Linked DNA regions of Xenopus tropicalis. The protein of the gene in region 1 interacts with the protein of each later gene in a biochemical or structural test. Links are inferred from orthologs where the notes say so. Each region holds a gene or a part of one and is shown in the gene's direction. Other genes may lie near its edges.

Evidence for each region.
Region 2: the proteins of abcc4 (region 1) and slc9a3r1 form a complex in vitro, tested with the Homo sapiens proteins (3 studies listed by BioGRID and IntAct, with this or other methods). The link is inferred for Xenopus tropicalis from reciprocal best matches to the Homo sapiens genes ABCC4 and NHERF1.
Region 3: the proteins of abcc4 (region 1) and snta1 form a complex in vitro, tested with the Homo sapiens proteins (2 studies listed by BioGRID and IntAct, with this or other methods). The link is inferred for Xenopus tropicalis from reciprocal best matches to the Homo sapiens genes ABCC4 and SNTA1.
Region 4: the proteins of abcc4 (region 1) and mpp1 form a complex in vitro, tested with the Homo sapiens proteins (2 studies listed by BioGRID and IntAct, with this or other methods). The link is inferred for Xenopus tropicalis from reciprocal best matches to the Homo sapiens genes ABCC4 and MPP1.
Region 5: the proteins of abcc4 (region 1) and pdzk1 form a complex in vitro, tested with the Homo sapiens proteins (2 studies listed by BioGRID and IntAct, with this or other methods). The link is inferred for Xenopus tropicalis from reciprocal best matches to the Homo sapiens genes ABCC4 and PDZK1.

The regions. Positions count from the first base shown.
Region 1 is NC_030678.2:122,375,912-122,379,972, forward strand, and holds the start of abcc4 (multidrug resistance-associated protein 4), read left to right. Parts: upstream 1-1,254; 5' UTR 1,255-1,487; coding exon 1,488-1,561; intron 1,562-4,061. UniProt on the Homo sapiens protein: ATP-dependent transporter of the ATP-binding cassette (ABC) family that actively extrudes physiological compounds and xenobiotics from cells.
Region 2 is NC_030686.2:43,958,968-43,963,254, forward strand, and holds the start of slc9a3r1 (Na(+)/H(+) exchange regulatory cofactor NHE-RF1), read left to right. Parts: upstream 1-1,484; 5' UTR 1,485-1,503; coding exon 1,504-1,800; intron 1,801-4,287. UniProt on the Homo sapiens protein: Scaffold protein that connects plasma membrane proteins with members of the ezrin/moesin/radixin family and thereby helps to link them to the actin cytoskeleton and to regulate their surface expression. Necessary for recycling of internalized ADRB2.
Region 3 is NC_030686.2:41,868,231-41,872,463, forward strand, and holds the start of snta1 (alpha-1-syntrophin), read left to right. Parts: upstream 1-1,421; 5' UTR 1,422-1,464; coding exon 1,465-1,720; intron 1,721-4,233. UniProt on the Homo sapiens protein: Adapter protein that binds to and probably organizes the subcellular localization of a variety of membrane proteins. May link various receptors to the actin cytoskeleton and the extracellular matrix via the dystrophin glycoprotein complex.
Region 4 is NC_030680.2:40,899,039-40,903,242, forward strand, and holds the start of mpp1 (55 kDa erythrocyte membrane protein), read left to right. Parts: upstream 1-1,392; 5' UTR 1,393-1,502; coding exon 1,503-1,616; intron 1,617-3,253; coding exon 3,254-3,379; intron 3,380-4,204. UniProt on the Homo sapiens protein: Essential regulator of neutrophil polarity. Regulates neutrophil polarization by regulating AKT1 phosphorylation through a mechanism that is independent of PIK3CG activity.
Region 5 is NC_030678.2:8,067,090-8,070,601, forward strand, and holds part of pdzk1 (Na(+)/H(+) exchange regulatory cofactor NHE-RF3), read left to right. Parts: intron 1-2,097; coding exon 2,098-2,234; intron 2,235-2,416; coding exon 2,417-2,612; intron 2,613-3,413; coding exon 3,414-3,512. UniProt on the Homo sapiens protein: A scaffold protein that connects plasma membrane proteins and regulatory components, regulating their surface expression in epithelial cells apical domains.

The DNA.
Region 1 (4,061 bases):
TGAATGGTGTGTGACCTGTAGGTTGGTGTCTGACAGAATCTTCCTTATAATCAGGTGCGGGCCAAGCCGACCGGGTGCCCTAGGCAACCCGGTCAGCCAACTCCGCCCACCTCCCCGCCCCCCCAATGGCGCATGCGCGCCAAAGCACAGGAGGAGGTGCAGGGGGCAGTGCGATGATCAGTCATTGCCTCCACCGCTAAGCATTAGCGGTGGAGGCAATGACAAAGTAGAACTAGGGGTAGGCAGGAGAGGCTGCCTGGCACCCCTCAATCGTTGCGCCCTAGGCAGCTGCCTCTTCTGACTACCCCTAGTTCCGGCCCTGCTTATAATGGTTCCGTTTACTCTGGTCAGATGTCCCACGAGAGATTCAAGCCAGGCCTGTATTTATATATAAACAGCATTTGGGGAGGTGCCCCTTTACAGTAATCTTTGCAGCTCTCTATACCAACATATATTTATTAGTATACTAAAGGGAGGGTAGTATTAGGCTAATTCGATCAGACAAATGATCAAATTCCAATGGCGGGCATAGGTGCCTTTGGAGCGCATCAAGAAGCCGATGTGATCCCCGATTCGACAGGAAAATCAAACCCACTCAATCGAGATCTGCCCAATTCTAGACCAGATATCTGTTAGGGAGGCCTGTTGGGAGTGCCCATTTACAGGCAGATAAGCTGCCAAAATGGTATGAAGGACTTAAATCAGCAGATGAAATCGGCCCATGTATGGCCACCTTTAGGGCAGTGACACACAGGGAGATTAGTTGCACCACTATGAATCTTCCTTACCACAGGCGACTAATCTCCCCCCAATGCCATTCCACTGGCAAGAATGTTTCCTTGAGAGGAAACTTGGGGAAATTGTAGCAACACGTGTGCCACCCTACTGGCAATTCACATTCTTGCCGGTGGTACGGCATTATATGCCCGCAGAAACAATGTTGCGGTGCGACTAATCTCCCAGCCTGCCACTGCCCAATAGAGTTTAGAAGCCCACACAAATGTCTTCTAGTCCGAAATGCCTGGCACCCTTTTAATGGCACACAGGTTACTCTGATTTCCACTCATTCATTACAAAAGTGCTGCCTAACCACGTATGAATACAACCTACCCATTTTTCTGTTGCTCCCAGTTGTAAGCTGGAGAGTCACCTTCTACAATCAGCAACTGTGCAAACTTGCGCCCAGGCCCACATGACTACCAACCTTAATCTAAACAAAGGCCGCCCCGCCTCCGACTTAATCGCCTCTGACGCGAAGCAGCTCGACTGCATGTGGGGTAATAAAGAGCCAGCAGCCAATCAGATGTCCAGCATACGATGATAGGCGGAGCTACGCGGTAAAGCCGTGCGCTGCTGCTGTTGCTGAGTGCTGGGGCAGTGGAAGTGTGCGGTGGGACATACCGTGCGGGGGGCTGTCATCGAGTGTGTGGTTTCGGTTGTGTGCCCGGCTCCCCCCATGTGTAGCTGAATACTCTGAAGCAAAGAGAATGCAGCCGGTGCCAAAGGGAAGTAAAGCGAACCCCTCGCAGCATGCCAACTTTTGCTCCAAGATCTTCTTCTGGTAAGCGCTGCTTTCCTGTTGCTAATGCCACACACACAGGGATCTTTATGTCGCTCTGTCTGTCATGTGGCTAGTTACTTGAACTATATATAATATTAGATAAGCAGTCAGGACCTGCATGCTCGGTGCACTTTGTTTCGTGCCCTTCGTGAACTACTTCAGTAACCTTTGCACATTCTCTCACCTTTTAATTGCCTTTATGTCTGCCTTTGGCTCCGTGCCATGTGGTACTTACTGATGTGCGTCTGCTGCTCCCCCCCCACCCCACCATCTTTCACCCGGATACATAGAATAGTAGTAGAGCCAATGTCATGTACCTTAATAGGAATGTAATGCAGGGTCTCTAGTAATGGGCACTGAGACTTGAGGGGCACAGAGCAGCGCTATTCAACATGAATAGTTGTGCAGTTTGGGCTATAGCTCCAAGAACACTGCAGATTTATTCATTTGTTTCAAATGTAACTGTATATTAAGGCAAGATGTTTTTTAAAATTGGCCTCATTGGCCCAGTATTCATTATGAGTTAGGGAAGTCTGGGGTGTGGGGGGGTAATTGATTGTGTGCTCTTGATCCCCCCTGGAATACCGTGTATGACAACCACAGCTCTACATGTCCCTTGGCAGGTCCCCTAATGCTGTTCATCTGGAGGGCTTGCTCTGTGATGTTTGGGCAGCCCTGCATTGCCCCAAGTACCACCAGTAATAACACTGTCCTCTTACTCATTTGTATACATAGTCCAAGTTCTATAGGTCTACGAACTATTGCCAGTGTCATATACATGTTGTGGGCTTTAGTGTGAATTAAAACATAGACATTTACAAATCATTATGGACCATGTGTTATGGGAACCTCCGGAACTGCAGGAAAAGTATGTCAAAGAAATAAGTGCCTGGCAGGGGTCTGATAAAGATATATATATATATGAAGGTGCAGAAAATAAAATTATTTATTCACTTCAGAATACTGCGCCATTCAACTTGCTTGCATTAACTCCCAAAGAATAGTCAGGGACCCTTTCCCTCTGGTGACTTTTGTGGTCATAGTGTTCTTCCTTTCCAGGAAGTTGTGGTACCTTTGTGGTACATATATAGCCCCCCCCCCTGCGTCGTTTCTGCTGTTGTAAACAGCAACAAATAACAAGAAGCTCCTCTGGCTACAGGGTGTTTAATAAGTATGCACAAACTGCCTGTAAGGAACCTCAGCATCCCTGAAACTCAGTGTGGGCCACTTGCTAGGTTAATCAGATAATAGAGCCTTTCCAGCAGAATTTTATTTTGAAATATCACATGGGTCTAGCGGCTAGCCATATCCTTCTTTTCTCAGGGTACCACAGCCATGTGACCTGTGCTCTGATATACTTTAGTCACTCTTTATTGCTGCGCTGCAAGTTGGAGTTACATCACCCCCCTCCCTTTCTCCCCCAGCAGCCGATCAACAGAACAATGGGAAGGGAGCAAGATAGCAGCTCCCTGATACCTGTATTGCTAAAAGTGGTAGAATAGCACTCAATAGTAAAAAATCAAAGTCCGGCTTGGGACTCCTCCAGTTACACTGAACATGAGAAACAATGGGTTACCTGAAAGAAGTTTTAATGTGTAGCGCTGGCTCGTTCTGAAAGCTCACAATCAGCCTCATGAGATGGCGCCTACACACCAATATTACATCTACAAAAAAAATACATTTGTTGGTTCAAGAATAAAATTTTAAATGGTAGAGTGAATTTTTTGTAATGTAAACAGTGTAATTTAGAAATAAAAAGTATACCTAAAATCATGACAGAATCCCTTTAACAGAATATTTACTACATTAGAGGTCATTATTACCGGTTGATTGTTTTTTTTTTTTTAACACTTATGCAAACCACACAAAAGGTAACTGTAACTAAGAGTCTGTTTAGTACCATTGTAATATAATTCTGTGTATATTTCAGTTACAGTTTGCAATCTTTGCACCAATTTCTGCTATTTAATTTGACTTCCCAAAATAATATAAGTTATATACAAAATTATTAGTCAGAGGTAATACATGCCTTGGTTAGATTTTTCAGTGATCCTAAGAAGGTGCAAAGTTTTGAGTAAAGTTGGCAAGCAGCCGTGTGATGCATTGACATACAGTAACAGAACAAAGGTTGGCACGAGACTCTAATTTCTCTTACGATTTTTCCCGTATCTGCCCTTGGATTTCACTTCAGGATTTAAAAGCTTTTCAGTAGATAATTTATTCAATATTTCATAGTTGTGTGTGCACTTACAGTGTATATACACTGTAAAATGGTATAAATATATAATGCAAATAAACTGTACATGTGGAGTGTTTTGACTACAGCTGTGCTCAGAAGAAAACAGTAATATAATTTTCAATACTGTTATTAATATTAGCATAATAGTACAGTTGTAAATTAAAAGTTCACTTGCCCTTTATTGATCATCTTTTCTCTTCTCCATTTCTGTCTCCATATGGAAATACATAACTTAACATATCTATATAATTGTCCTGTCCT
Region 2 (4,287 bases), on another chromosome or scaffold:
AGCAGCTCACACAGGCAAAAGGGATCCACAAGTGGGCTTTAATATGGGGCTCGCTACAGGGGTGCTACTCTGGATGCCTGGCTCCCCCATCATTCACAGAACCCACCACCAACCAAACTCATGGGGAACAGGGCATCACAGCTGGGTGGGGGAGGGATTCCCCTATAGTTAACCCACTGGTTCTCCTAGTGCACCCTGACTTGTGTGGTTCTAACCGAGGGGCGTTCTAGGGGGACCCCATGTGCTGCACACCCAGCAGGGTTGGACTGGGGGGTGCAGGGCCCACCGGGGCTCCCGCCCCAGGGGCCCTGCAAGTGCCCCAGCCGCGTCCCCTAACCCCCCCAGGGGCCCCCCTAACCCCCCCGCCTGACGTCCTCCCCGAGCGCGTATAAATTGAACGCGTCAGGGGAGGAACAGTCAGTAGGGGGAGCGCCGGCAAAGGTCGGACTGGGCCCACTAGGGCGGCCCAGTCCGACCCTGGCACCCAGTGTTGGACCAGCCAACCATGATACCAGGAAAACTCCCGCTGGGCCCAGGGGTCAGTGGGCCTTCCTGCTCCTGACCATTTGGCCTGTTTCATGGTCATTCCCTATTTCTGAATGGGAAGAAAGAGAAGGAATAGATGGAAGAATAGATGCTAGCATGTAAATAAAACAGACTAGGAGAATAAAATGGTTGTGAAGAAAGGAGGATATTTTGGAGAATGGGCCCATGGTCTTAGGTTCTCTGGTGGGCCCCTGGGGTCCCAGTGCGCACCTCTGCCGCTTCCGAATTCAGCATATATATTGTGTCATGCACAGCTCTCTAGAATGGCACCCCGGTGAGCAAATAACACTGAGCTAAACAGCACAATAATGGTAGCCTCAGTGAGGGGCAGTGCCTGAGGAGCTGTATGAGGCGAGGGGCAGGTGCATGCCAGGGTACTGGGGAGTTGTACTGCTCCCTCCTCTCACATTCTTTGGATGCCTCAAGCTGCTCATTAATCTCCAGTGCAAAGTCCCCATGCTGAATGCACTAATTGCTCACTATTATAAACACTGCTGCCATCATCAACCCCCCCACCCCTCCCCTCACTGGCACAGCTCCACCCTGCTGCCTGAGGTGCTGCAATAATACTCTATGTTCTGTCATACTCAGTTGGGTCAGTCTATGTACAGGTTTATAGATGCTGCTTGGATGTCAAATGACCCATTAAAGTGGTTTCACTGACAGCAGACATGTAAAGATGCCACCTGTGCCTATGGGCCGTATTATATTCCCCGGGTCACATGACTCGGCGGCACTGATTAAACTTTACTCTGAGGGCCCGAATCCCGCGTAAGCTCATTGGAATAGGCGCGCCTCTCTCTGAACTTTCTCCTCCAATCACGTCCCTCGGCAATACTGTCCCCGCCCTCTTATTGGACATCTCTCATATTTGTCACCGCCGCGCCCTCCCTTTCGCTATATAATCTATAAGCTGGCAGAGCCTGAGTTCAGTCAGGCGCAGAGTAGCGGCTCGATATGGCTTCGGAGCGGGTGTGCGTGTTGGAAAAGGGGGATTCGGGCTACGGGTTTCATCTGCACAGTGAGAAGACCCGGCCGGGCCAGTATGTGAGGCTGGTGGAGCCTGGCTCAGCAGCTGAGAAAGCAGGACTGAGGGCAGGGGACCGGCTCATCCGGGTGTGCGGGGAGGATGTGAGGGAACTCGGGCACCAGCAGGTGGTGAGCAAAATCCGGGCAGCGACTGAGAAACTCACCTTGGAGGTACAGGGAGTAGAGGAGGAGGTGGCCCCCAGCTCCCCTAAAGAAGAAAACAAGGTACTCGGCTCAGAGCGAATTATGGGGGCAGCCTGGCGAGCCCACTGCACCTGGTCACATGACTTGCCTACTGGAGTCCTGCTGATAATAGCTTCCCCTTCAGTATGGGGGGGTCGGGGCAGTTTGCTGGCTTTATACGTAGTATCCTACCCCTGCTAAGTGATGCCATGCAGTGCCAGGGTATATACTGCTCTTGCTAGAGTTTCTAATGCTGAACTTGTGTTTGCATAGTGGATAATGTACCCCCTATTGTAAAATATAAGGATATTATAAGTCAGAGAGGAGTTCCTTATAATATATAGTGACTAAAGTACCCCCTATTGTAACATATAGGGATATTATAAGTCCCTGAGGAGTTCCTTATAATATATAGTGAATAAAGTACCCCCTATTGTAACATATATGGATTTTATAAGCCCCTGAGGAGTTCCTTATAATATATAGTGAATAAAGTACCCCCTATTGTAACATATAGGGATATTATAAGTCACAGAGGGGTTCCTTATAATATATAGTGAATAAAGTCCCCCCTATTGTAACATAGGGATATTATAAGTCACAGAGGGGTTCCTTATAATATATGGTGAATAAAGTACCCCCTATTGTAACATATAGGGATTTTATAAGTCACAGAGGGGTTCCTTATAATATATAGTGAATAATGTACCCCCTATTGGAACATATAGGGATATTATAAGTCACAGAGGAGTTCCTTATATAGTGAATAAAGTACCCCCTATTGTAACATATAGGGATTTTATAAGTCACAGAGGGGTTCCTTATAATATATAGTGAATAAAGTGCCCCCTATTGTAACATATAGGGATATTATAAGTCACAGAGGAGTTCCTTATATAGTGAATAAAGTACCCCCTATTGTAACATATAGGGATTTTATAAGTCACAGAGGGGTTCCTTATAATATATAGTGAATAAAGTGCCCCCTATTGTAACATATAGGGATTTTATAAGTCACAGAGGGGTTCCTTATAATATATAGTGAATAATGTACCCCCTATTGGAACATATAGGGATATTATAAGTCACAGAGGAGTTCCTTATAATATATAGTGAATAATGTACCCCCCTATTGTAAAATATAAGGATATTATAAGTCACAGAGGAGTTCCTTTACTATATAAAAGCATGAGCTGAAGGCTGACTTGTAATATCCTCATATTTTACAACAGGGGGCACTTTATTATAATATCCAAGTTTTAGTGATTTGTGTGACAGAAATTACATCACTGAGCTCTGATTATAACTGATGACATCACTAGGCACCGTTTATAAGGATCCCATAGGGGAGTGATCAAACTGTAAATTATAAAGATATAATCAAAGAGCCATGATTTCCTGTAAAATGGGTTCTTCTACGTGGTGCATAGTGATGTCATCAGTTATCTTTAATTTTAATGATGTAATTTGTCATATGACTCACTGTGTCTATAAAAACCGTACCACTATTATATAATATGATATTAGAAGTCACCATTTGTTCCATGACCAATAGAACGCCTTGTGGTTTTAGACTGGTCATGGAATGCCAACAACCATTGACCTCATGTCCTTATATCAGTGATCCTCAACCAGTGGCTCAGGGGCAACTTGTTGCTCCCCAACCCCTTGGATGTTGCTCCCAGTGGCCTTCAAACAGGGGCTTATTTTTGAATTCCTGGCTTGGGGGCAAGTTTTGGAGGCATAAAAAACAGGTGTACTGCCAAACAGAGCCTCCTGTAAGCTGCCAGTCCATATAGGGGCTACCAAATAGCCAATCACAGCCCTTATTTGGCACCCCTAGGAACAGGTTTCATGCTCGTGTTGCTCCCCAAGTCTTTTTACATTTGAATGTGGCTCACAGGTAAAAAAGGTTTGGGACACCTGCCTTATATGGATCTCTTTAACTTTTAATATCCTTATAATTTACAATTGGGGGTACGCTATTCTCCGTTTAGTGGATCGGCCACACACGGCAGCCAAGCTGATGATGGATGCCGCTGTCATTAGTGGGAAGCAAACTATGGGCCAGAGAGTAATCGGGACCCCACAGGGTATAAGTTCCAGGAAAGGCTTCTAGGAAGGGACTTTATAACAGAGGCTCGGCTGTCTCGGCACAACTATTCTAGATACAAAGTCAGTTGCAGCTCAACAAGCTTTTTGCCCCTGGGCCTTGCCAGCACTAAAGACAGCCCTGGCATGGCACCGCTCCAGTCTGGTGTGGCAGCTTCAGCTGGGTACCTGAGTGCCTCAGTTGCCTGGCATGAATCCTAGACTTGGGTATTTAATTCTTTCTATAGAGAAGGGTATATAGTACCCTATGTGTTGGTGGTGGTGGAGCTGTGCCATTATCCTGGATTGGCATCAATTACCAGCCTATGTACCAATCAGAACCCCCCCCCTCCTCCTCCAAGTAGAACTGACATATGTTTCTGAGTAATGCCCACTTTATCTAGACCAATGATCCCCAACCAGTGGCTTGGGGCAACA
Region 3 (4,233 bases), on another chromosome or scaffold:
GGAGTAGTGGGCAGAATATAGAGGTAGGCAGGCAGTAGTGGGCAGAATATAGAGGTAGGCAGGGAGTAGTGGGCAGAGTATTGAGGTAGGCAGGGAGTAGTGGGCAGAATATAGAGGTAGGCAGGGAGTAGTGGGCAGAGTATTGAGGTAGGCAGGGAGTAGTGGGCAGAATATAGAGGTAGGCAGGGAGTAGTGGGCAGAATATAGAGGTAGGCAGGGAGTAGTGGGCAGAATATAGAGGTAGGCAGGGAGTAGTGGGCAGAATATAGAGGCAGGGAGTAGTGGGCAGAGTGTTGAGGTAGGCAGGGAGTAGTGGGCAGAATATAGAGGCAGGGAGTAGTGGGCAGAGTATTGAAGTAGGCAGGGAGTAGTGGGCAGAATATAGAGGTAGGCAGGGAGTAGTGGGCAGAATATAGAGGTAGGCAGGGAGTAGTGGGCAGAATATAGAGGTAGGCAGGAGTAGTGGGCAGAATATAGAGGTAGGCAGGGAGTAGTGGGCAGAATTTAGAGGCAGGGAGTAGTGGGCAGAATATAGAGGTAGGCAGGGAGTAGTGGGCAGAATATAGAGGTAGGCAGGGAGTAGTGGGCAGAATATAGAGGCAGGAGTAGTGGGCAGAGTGTTGAGGTAGGCAGGGAGTAGTGGGCAGAATATAGAGGCAGGGAGTAGTGGGCAGAGTATTGAAGTAGGCAGGGAGTAGTGGGCAGAATATAGAGGTAGGCAGGGAGTAGTGGGCAGAGTATTGAGGTAGGCAGGGAGTAGTGGGCAGAGTGTTGAGGTAGGCAGGGAGTAGTGGGCAGAGTGTTGAGGTAGGCAGGGAGTAGTGGGCAGTACTGACATTATACAGCAGGTACAGGAGGGCACAGGTTGGCACCGTATGTCGGGCAGTATGACGGGATGTATTTAGTGGGCACAGGACTGGGTGAGGGGAGGCAGAGTGGCATTTAGTGGGCACAGGACTGGGTGAGGGGATGCAGAGTGGCACTTAGTGGGCACAGGACTGAGTGAGGGGAGGCAGAGTGGCACTTAGTGGGCACAGGACTGGGTGAGGGGAGGCAGAGTGGCACTTAGTGGGCACAGGACTGGGTGAGGGGAGGCAGAGTGGCACTTAGTGGGCACAGGACTGGGTGAGGGGAGGCAGAGTGGCACTTAGTGGGCACAGGACTGGGTGAGGGGAGGCAGAGTGGCACTTAGTGGGCACAGGACTGGGTGAGGGGAGGCAGAGTGGCACTTAGTGGGCACAGGACTGGGTGAGGGGAGGCAGAGTGGCACTTAGTGGGCACAGGACTGAGTGAGGGGAGGCAGAGTGGCACTTAGTGGGCACAGGACTGAGTGAGGGGAGGCAGAGTGGCACTTAGTGGGCACAGGACTGGGCAGGGCGGTCCCACATGTGCAGCCCCAGCCCGGGGAGGCGCTCTCACTCCCCCTCCCTCCCCTCCCTCTATCCCTGTCCGGGCACTCTGGCCATGGCTTCCCCGGGCACGGCTCACCGGAGCGGGCTGCTGGAGCTGCGCTGTCCCGGGGAGCGCTGGGTGCGGGTACTGCTGCTGCTCGGAGAGGAGACTGTGACTTTCACCCCGGAGCCGGAGCCCGGGGCAGCGGAGGAGAAGGCGCTGAACGGCGCGGAGCCGGCGGGGGGGGTCCCGGAGTCTCTCATTAACCTGCGCCGGACTGTCAGGGTGCTCAAGCAGGATGCGGGGGGGCTGGGGGTCAGCATCAAGGGTAAGTACCCTGCTCGGAGCCCACCTTCCTTCTCTCCTGGGCTAACTCCCTGCTATGGTGCCCACTGGCATTACTAACTCCCTGCTATGGTGCCCACTGGCATTACTAACTCCCTGCTATGGTGCCCACTGGCATTACTAACTCCCTGCTATGGTGCCCACTGGCATTACTAACTCCCTGCTATGGTGCCCACTGGCATTACTAACTCCCTGCTATGGTGCCCACTGGCATTACTAACTCCCTGCTATGGTGCCCACTGGCATTACTAACTCCCTGCTATGGTGCCCACTGGCTTTACTAACTCCCTGCTATGGTGCCCACTGGCTTTACTAACTCCCTGCTATGGTGCCCACTGGCATTACTAACTCCCTGCTATGGTGCCCACTGGCTTTACTAACTCCCTGCTATGGTGCCCACTGGCTTTACTAACTCCCTGCTATGGTGCCCACTGGCATTACTAACTCCCTGCTATGGTGCCCACTGGCTTACTAACTCCCTGCTATGGTGCCCACTGGCTTTACTAACTCCCTGCTATGGTGCCCACTGGCATTACTAACTCCCTGCTATGGTGCCCACTGGCTTTACTAACTCCCTGCTATGGTGCCCACTGGCTTTACTAACTCCCTGCTATGGTGCCCACTGGCATTACTAACTCCCTGCTATGGTGCCCACTGGCTTTACTAACTCCCTGCTATGGTGCCCACTGGCTTTACTAACTCCCTGCTATGGTGCCCACTGGCATTACTAACTCCCTGCTATGGTGCCCACTGGCTTTACTTACTCCCTGCTATGGTGCCCACTGGCTTTACTAACTCCCTGCTATGGTGCCCACTGGCTTTACTAACTCCCTGCTATGGTGCCCACTGGCTTTACTAACTACCCTGCTATCATGCCAAGTCCTACACAGGCATTAACTGACTGTGCCCCCCTCTCCTTCTCCTGGGAATTCCTCACCAGTAACCAATCTTACAATGACTACTAACTAGCCCCCTAACGGTATGGCATTCCAGTGCCCTGCTACTATGCCCTGCTTTCCTACTGGCATTACTAACTACCCTGCTATAGTGCCCAGCACTGTTAATATTAACTAATGTAGTGCCCAGTTGAGGGCATTCCTACTTAGTACTCTATGATAGTGCCAAGTTCCACAGTGGCATAACAACCATGGTCCAGCTCTGTGTAGGGCATTTGACCATTGTACCCTGCTATAGCGCCCAGCTTCCACACTGACATTAGCCCAAAATAGTGTCCAGGGCACAATTACAAAGTATGCAGTGCCCAACTTTCCCTCCGGCAGTATTAACCCTCCCAGTGCAGTGCTACAGTGCCCAGCTTTCATACTGGCATTACTCACTACTTTGGTACAATAAACTCCCTGCCCACCTTTTTCTAGGGCATTTCTGGCTAATACCCCGATACTGTGCCCACATTTTACTTTGGCATTACTAAGTAGCCCAGTTCAGTGTTCTGCTTTCACTGTGGCATCACTTATTGCCCCTATTATAGTGCCTAGATTTCCCTCAGTACCCAAGAAATGCACCCACCTTCATTATGGTTAAGCCTGTCATTTTGTGCCAACCAGTGCTCATTATGTTGCCCAGCTCTGTGTGGCATTTCTATCCACCTCATTCTAGTGTGCATGCCAAATCTCAAGGCGGCATCCCAGCCTACCATGTTGTTGTGTATAACTCTAACTTGGCATTCCTGTCACTCTTATTATTATTCAGACCTCTCACTGTGCCCTCACCTCATTGTGCCATAATAATGTGTCTCTCTGGCAGTGCCAAAGCTACTACCTCAGTTCCCTTGGGATTTCATGCCCAACTCTCACTATGCTATTAATGCCTGCCAGCTTAATATGCCCATCTCTCATTATTTGTGCCAAACTGTGCCTCTTTCTGACTAAGCCAATGCCCCTTGCCTCGGTGCCCAACTCCCTATCCAGCTTACATGTAAATGATGGTGCCAATTATTGCCCTATATGTCCCGTGACTGTTGCTGGCAGTGCCCCAGCCCTGCGTCTGTACATCAGTGCCCCCTGTCACTCTCATTCATGGCTGCCCTTTCCTGCCTTTGTAGAGTTGCGTTACCACTGGGCTGAAATAGTGACGCTGGCATAGTTTGCCCCCATGTGTCAGTAGCACTTTCTATCTGGCCAGCCTCCAACTCTAGCTATTGCAACATGTTTATAGGGGGGAGGCTGGAACTTGCAGTAAGAGCTGAAGGGCTTCAGGTTGTATTATACCTAATTGGACCCACACAGAATATTTTGTCCTGGGCTCCCCTAGCCTTACTCTCCCCCCTTGGCTTGCCCACACACACACCCAGAGCCAAACACACTGCGGCACTAGTAAACTGATAGGCACCTAAACACTCACACACCAACAACTGCGCCACATTCCTGCCCAGTGAGGCAAGTGTCCAGCCACAATCACAGTGCGGCTTATCTCATAGGCCCCACAGCAGCAGGAAGAGGAGGCTCCTGGGAAAATGGCTTCTGATCTGCTAAATGG
Region 4 (4,204 bases), on another chromosome or scaffold:
CTAATTACCTATTAACTATTTAGGTGCCAACCCACCCAAGGTGTTGCACTATTACAGTATCACCCACCCTTTGGGTCTATCCTGGGGGTAACCAACCTAGGGGCCAATTTTGGAGATCCCTACACTAATATGACCATTCACAATTTTTTTTGTGGGGGTTTAAATACTTGTGGGAAAATACCATAAGAACTTATGTGCACACATACACTGTTTAGGATATTCAAATCGTAGAAATCTGACCGTATTTCATCATTCTAGCCCCCCCCCCCCCCCTCCCTTCGAGGCCTAACAGCCCAACATTTGGACAGAGTCACTCTTAGCTCACAACAAGGCTGCCACTCTGCCAGTATGTTACCAGCTAAGGCCGGAAGCAATTGTATTGGCAGTATATTATAATGCCCCTAACTTTTCCTCCTCCCTACCAGGGTTGCTACCTGTCCTTGTCTTTACAAGAGCTGTATGGGTTAAAACTGCATGTCCAGATTTTAGAAGTCTGAAACTCATAGTGTTCAACCTCGATTGAAGCATATTCCAACCAACCAAGGTCTGCTGTATTATAGCCTCAGGCCCAATGTCACCTACTGCGCCCCACTGCCATAGCACACAACATTCAATAGAGGCAGCCCTACTCCCTGCCGCCCAGTTTCACCCCCTACTTGCATTAAAATAATGCCCTCTGGCCTCATCACCCCACCACTGTCACTCCTCTGCCCTACCATATTGGCTGGTTAGAAGACCCAGCAGAGGTACTACAAATCACTCTAACTCACCTTGAATTGGCTTACAAGGAGAAAACCTGCAGTTTACCCAAATGTCTTCTTAACTTGCCTTCAGGCTAACCCCATTTCAGACTCAGTTTGGCAACCACTGTTTCAAGGGCAATAGCAATATTTTCAAAGAACGCGCTATTAGTGTGCCTTATTGACACCAAATAAAGACTACGAGTATATTTTTCACGCGTTATTTAGTCGTATTGGCATTAAAACTACACCTCATGCTGTTTCATACAATTACGAGTACCAATATTAACACATTCGTCTCCCCTTCCGGCCCTTATTTTTCTCTACCTCGACCCCCTCCTTCCCCCTCTTGCGATTCCCTGTTCATATGACAAGCATCACAGGTCATGTGACTCGGGAGAACACATTTTTTTGAGGACATAGGGAACGCAACCATCGGCTCGTTTTGTTGCGTTATTAAAAGAATGTTAAACCTATCTGAATATTTAGTAAATCTGTAATGCGCAAAGCCAAACATCAGGCTGGAAATACACGTGGACAGCGGTTTCTAAACAGTATTAAAAAAAAAAAAAAAAATTCGGTAAGGACTCCCCTGATACGTCATGGTAGGCGTCTGAATCCTCTATCTCTCTTAGACACTGTTCACTGACTCAGCCTATTCCTTGGGAGATAAAGGAGAAGAGGCAGAGGGGTTCGATAGTATAAACCGGTGCAGGTTTATACAGTGGAAACACCTAGGAAGGCGGAATACCTCGTCTCAGGATGTCAATGAAGTTTGAGCGCGCAGAGACCCCGTTGTGTGACAGTTCCAGTGTGAGGACTGCCCTGTCAGACCTGTATCTGGAGACCCTGCTGCAAAACCGGGGCTCAGCCAAGGTAAGAGCTACAAACAGGGAAACCATTCTGATGCCGTCAGTATCAGGTAACCGAACTGCAGGTCTCATATTGCGAGCTCCCTCATTTCCTGGGAGATTTATATCGCAGTATATTAGAATTCATTTTCTGTGTGATTTAAACATACTATAGCCTTTTGCGAACCGGCGAGTATGGGGTTAGCATTGCGGTTTCTCTGCGCGATGATCTTTGCTCTTCTACTTGTCAGCTGATAAGAAAATAGAGGATCAGCGAAAACGAGGCCATGGTACAGATAATAGGCTGCTGAATGGAGGGACATGTGCAGAGTACAGAGATCACAAGCGAGTAAAGGCACACCGGGCTACTAGTAGCAGCTACTTTTCCATTGCTACTAAACTCCAGAAAATACCTTCCCATAGACAATACTGAGAACAGCCTCTGCTAAAACACACCTAGAGACAGTCATCAGTAAATGCTGAACACTGTCTGTTTTAGTAGCTCCAACAAGTAGCTGCTACTAGTAGCTCCATGGGTCTTCACCCCAAGGGCAGTGGCACACATGGAGTTTAGTTTCCGAAATGAATCTTTGTTACCACCGGCGACTAATCTTGACATACCATCCCACCCGCAAGAATGCAAATCACCAGTGGGATGGCATACGTGTTGCTTTGGTTTCCCGAAGTTACCTCTAAAAGAAACTACGGGAAACGGAAGCATGTATGCCATCCCACCGGATGACATGTAGATGCGAAGATTTATCGCGGGCGACTAATCTCCACGTGTGCCACTGCCCTAACCCTGCTGCAAAACAAGTGGCCCTGCACCAATCGCCTATGAAATTGTCCATTCTGTAGAGCAGACACCACTGGGTGCGAGTTCTGAAGATTTAAAACTTTATTTTAAAGGGAATCTAAAACTTCATATCTTTATATAGTGAAAAAAAATTATTGTAAGCAACATTCCAATATACAACATTGTCAATGATAAATTTATAAATATTGCTTTCCACCTAAATCAGTTTAGCCCTTTCTGTTTGTCAGTTCTGACTACGGTGTAGTAGAATTTAGTCTCCAGCTGGTTTCTGCTATGTTGTAAAACCACTGAAAATGCTGACTTAATGTATACTGGAAAGTTGCTTAGAATTACGTTTGGTGATCTAAAATTTACAGATGTCTGCTCAGCTGCTTATGAGTGTTTACAGGCATAGTCAGTTGCGTAACTACCCTCCCTGGTCTTCCATCTGGTGCAGGGGGAAGGGGACCTGTTCCAAAAGTCACTCTTATAGCTTGCCACTGTTAATGGCTGAGTGTATCTTCTCCTGTACTCCATAAGCGAATGGCTATTGAGGGTCCAGACTGGGATTTGAAATAGACCCTGGCATTTCAAGTACATAGAGGCCGAAACAGCCCCCCACCAGCCCAACAGATATTGTTATTCTCCATGTAGTCACCTAGCCCTTTTGCTCTCTCCTTTCTTGTTTTAAGGTAACTGTAATGAGTTATACCAAATGCTTTACATCATTTCAGAATGATGTTAGACAGAAATATTGATGCAATGTTCTTAATATATTCTCTGTGTGATGAAATTTGCTATTTTCAGCTATTATTGCAAACTTGTAAATTCATCTGTGCTTGTACTAAACCTAGTGTACCCAACAGGGCTATCAAACCAGTGTCGGCTCTCACACAGAGGAGATTTACACAAATGGATCTGCAGCTTCAGGGACAGAGGAAAAGAAGAGAGTACGACTTGTTCAGTTTGAAAGAGAAACCGAAGAACCTATGGTAAGTAAAGGGACATAGGCAGAGGTCTGGAAAAATAGTTTTAAAAAAGCTGGATATTTAAAAGAAACGGGGAAAAAAAAACATATTTACAGACTAGAAAGCAAGTGGATCTAAGCAGAAGTGACGGTGAGCTGGACTTACACCCAATTCTGCATTTACTGATGCCCTATTAAGCCTCCAAAAGGGTCACTAGCATGTACAATTTTAAATTTGAAAAAAATTGATTGCCACCCAATAAAATCTCTATCCAAAACTGACCTTCCAGGCAAATTATTAGTCAAATAGAAAATATTAGTGAGAAAAAAGTCTAACTGGAAAAATGTTGCCTCTTATGACCCTAAAGTGTCATATAGCCATGGCAACAGTGTTGCTTAGACATGGAAGTATCATTTTACCTAAAGAATAGTTATTATGCTAAATAATTTAAAATATTATGTTCTCCCTCTCCCTAATCTTTATATTTTATATATTTTTTCAAGTATTCAATTTAAAATGGCATGCACTTTATAATCCGAATATATGTAAATGAAGCTCCAGTTAACATGGGAAATTATTCCAATAAGTATCAACACAGAGGGAAGGAAAGGTAATTCTGGACCGTTTGGGTCAAATCATGAATATATAGTCTTGGGGTGGAATGAAGGGACCAATAATATAATAAAGTGATCCAGCACTTGCAAATAAATTATCGGCTACAAAAGTCCAATTTTATCTGAAAAAGGTTTTCATTTATTGGGCCTGTTAGCAGACACACAGTGATCACTGTGAAGACAAATATCCAATATCCTTTTTGTATCTCTGCAAAACAAGCCAACTCTGTGCCTG
Region 5 (3,512 bases), about 110 Mb from region 1:
AGTGAATTTTTCAAGCGCCCTGAGATAGGGAATTTTCTGATAACTTGTTATTCGAACGCTATTCAGAAATATTGCATTATTTGGTGGAGTACTGGGCATTTAGCCAGGTGATTCACTGCTCCTGCGTAATGAGTACCACAATGATACTTACCAGCTTATACAGTGAACACTCCAATTGATCCTCAGTATAAAGTAAATGTGGATTAAATAAAGACACAACACATGACTGTGGAATAAATTTATTACACGGATGGTGAGACTATTTTCAACTCTCTGTAAGGAATTTCCTCCTACTAATACTTACCGAAGTTATTTAATCACGAGTTTTTCTGTAAACTTCACAAAGCGCTCTGTGCAGATCAAAAACTTACCTGGGTAATAAAACTGCGAATTATAAAGGTTGAGATTAGTTTACTTACCTGGATATAAAGCCACGACTTTCCTTTAGAAGCCATACAGGATACTTCTGTGCAGACCAATTATAGAATTGTTACAAATGTAACTAAACAATTACGACACTAAAGATACCTTATTAAGTAACAATTTCTAGGAGTGAAAGAGCTAGAACTGCAACAGATTCAATGTGTGATAGTGTACATTTTAAAATTTCTTTTCTTTTTCTTTCTATCTATTTTAAGTATTTTAATACCAAGAAGTAAAAGTTATATTTTAATCCTAATAGGTGTGCCAGTCTTGCCTTTTTGTGTCTATAACACGATATAGTATCCATCAATATACGCAGCGCTTTAAAGAATAGAGGGGTACAAAATATAGAACAGTTAACATGTACATATAAACAATTCACAGAAATGGGTTGCAGTTACATTGGATGAGGATCGGAGGCACTAGGGGGAGGGCCCTGCTCGCAAGAGCTTACATTCTAAAAGGGGGGGCTAAGACATAAGGTCAGGGTAACTAGCATGGCGTTGGAGTTCGTGTAGGTGTGTAAAGTGACAGTAAGTGCGGAGGTGGAAACCAGTGGTTCCTGAGTGTTTGAGGGAAGATTAGGGGGGCTCAGTGGGGTAATCGTATTTGGGGGTTTAGGTTATAGGAGTGAAAAGGTGAGTTTTAAGAGACCATAAAGGCTTGGAGAGTCTGGCAGTGCCTAATGGGATGGGGAAGAGCGTTCCAGAGGATGGGTGCAGCACGTGAGAAGTCCTGGGTGCGAGAGTGAGAGGAGGTGATGAGTGAGGAGGAGAGAAGGAGGTGTAAAGCGAAGGGTATGTCTGGGGGTGCACTTGGGGATTAGGGGGGTTAAATAGAGCGGTGCGGCACCAGTGAGTGCTTTGTAGGTGGGTACAAGAATCTTGAACTGAATCCTGTACATGAGAGGTAACCAGTCCTGGGGTTGGCAGAGAGAGGCGGCACTTGGGGAGCGGGAGGAGAGGTGTATGAGTCTTCTGGCAGCACTGTTCATGATGGATTGGGGTGGGGTCAGTTTATACAGGGGAAGCCCACAGAGCAGTGAGTTGCAGTAGTTCTTTAGGAGAAGATTATTTGGGAAGAAAAATACCACAGACTACTTCAAAAACCATTGGTTCATTGGGGAATTGTTCTTGCGTTGATCATGAAACCTTCTTTCCTCCAGGAGTAATAGACCTCCTATTGCATAGTGGTTTAAAGGCAATGGGAAACACGGTGACTCCAGCCTTTTTCATAAGAAATGGTGTATCTACTACTAGTAGGCCCCATGACTGCACGGAATCCAAGGACAGACCTGTTAAGGAGTCTGTCTTCTACTTCCATACTCGCCCCCTTCATCCTTCCTGTGCCTGTCCCATAGCATCTTCCAGTGATGTCCTCCATAACCCTCTTGAAGAGGGGTTGGGGCGGAGAGGGGGTAGAGTTGGCTGGCATTTAGTGACAAATTGGATGGGGGCCAGAAAATGGTTTACAAGAAGGCCAGCTGGGTCACATTAAGTTAGACCTAATACCCCCTTTAGATGGTTGAATTGGGCAATCATGAAGTAGGAAGAGATTGGAAGGATCTTTCAGCACCAAGACATAAAAAACAAAGAGCAGAACTATCTAAAGAAGTGTTTATGGATAAAACCAATAATTTACTATGCGTTTAATGCTAAATGTTGTCACATTCAGGTGAGAATGGAATATTCTTGTCAGCGCTGGTACCCAATGGGATTGCAGCCAAAGCCGGCGTCAAGGACGACGATCGTATCATTGAAGTGAATGGAAAAAATGTAGAAGATTCCACTCATGACAAGTTGGCCAAAATGGTACGAGTGGGTGGGAATGGGAGTGATATTCACTGGCAGTGGGGGGTGTGATTTTCTGCTATATAGTAACGTAAATGCACCAAATCCCAAGCTTTTGAATGACTACAATATAATGCCTTCTACATTTGACCCAATTCATCCTTTACTCACATTATCTGACTGAAAGCAATTCTTTCCTTCAGCTGAAGGAATCGGGGGGCAAAATCATGTTCCTTGTCTCAGACAAGGCGACCGACGAGTACTTCAAGAGTCAGACGATGGCGATTACCGCAGACAAAGCCAACGTGGAGCTGCTGCCTTCTAAACCAAGAACCGTGGAGCTGAAGAAGGACACTAACGGCTACGGGTTTTATTTGCGGCAAGAAAAAAACCGTAAAGGTAAAAAAAATAGTGATTTGTTTGGATCTGTTATTATCCACACACCTCCTGTTGTAAAATATCCTTATAAATGGTGCTTGGGGATGTCATCAATTCTTAGTGATGTCACTTCTGTCACGTGACTCACTGGAACTTGTGTATTATAATAAATAATGTATCCCTTTTTTGTAAAATATGAGGATATTAGAAGCCACCTCAGAGTTCCACGGCCTGTATAAAAGCACAATGCCTGCAGCCTTGTGCCTTTATATGGTCATGGAACTTCTCAGTGACTGCTAATATCCTTATCATTTACAGTAGGGGGTACATTATCCCTTATAATACATGAGTGATACTCAGAGTTCCCTGTATAACTCAGCCTGCAGCCTTGTGCCTTTATATGGGGGGCACAGAACCCCTCAGTGACTGCTAATATCCTTATCATTTACAGTAGGGGGTACATTATCTCTTATAATACATGAGTGATACTCAGAGTTCCCTGTATAACTCAGCCTGCAGCCTTGTGCCTTTATATGGGCACAGAACCCCTCAGTGACTGCTAATATCCTTATCATTTACAGTAGGGGGTACATTATCCCTTATAATACATGAGTGATACTCAGAGTTCCCTGTATAACTCAGCCTGCAGCCTTGTGCCTTTATATGGGCACAGAACCCCTCAGTGACTGCTAATATCCTTATATTTTACAATAGGGGGTACATTACTCACGATATAGTATTGCTCGGTGACTTCAAATACCCTTCTAATTTACAGTAGAATAACTCTTTATGAACTGGCCCCATTTTCCATGTTGGTTACAGGTCACTTTATTATGGAGATTGACTCAGGGAGCCCAGCGGAGAAGGCCAAGCTGCAGGACTACGATCGCATCGTTGCAGTAAATGGAGAGTGTGTGGAGG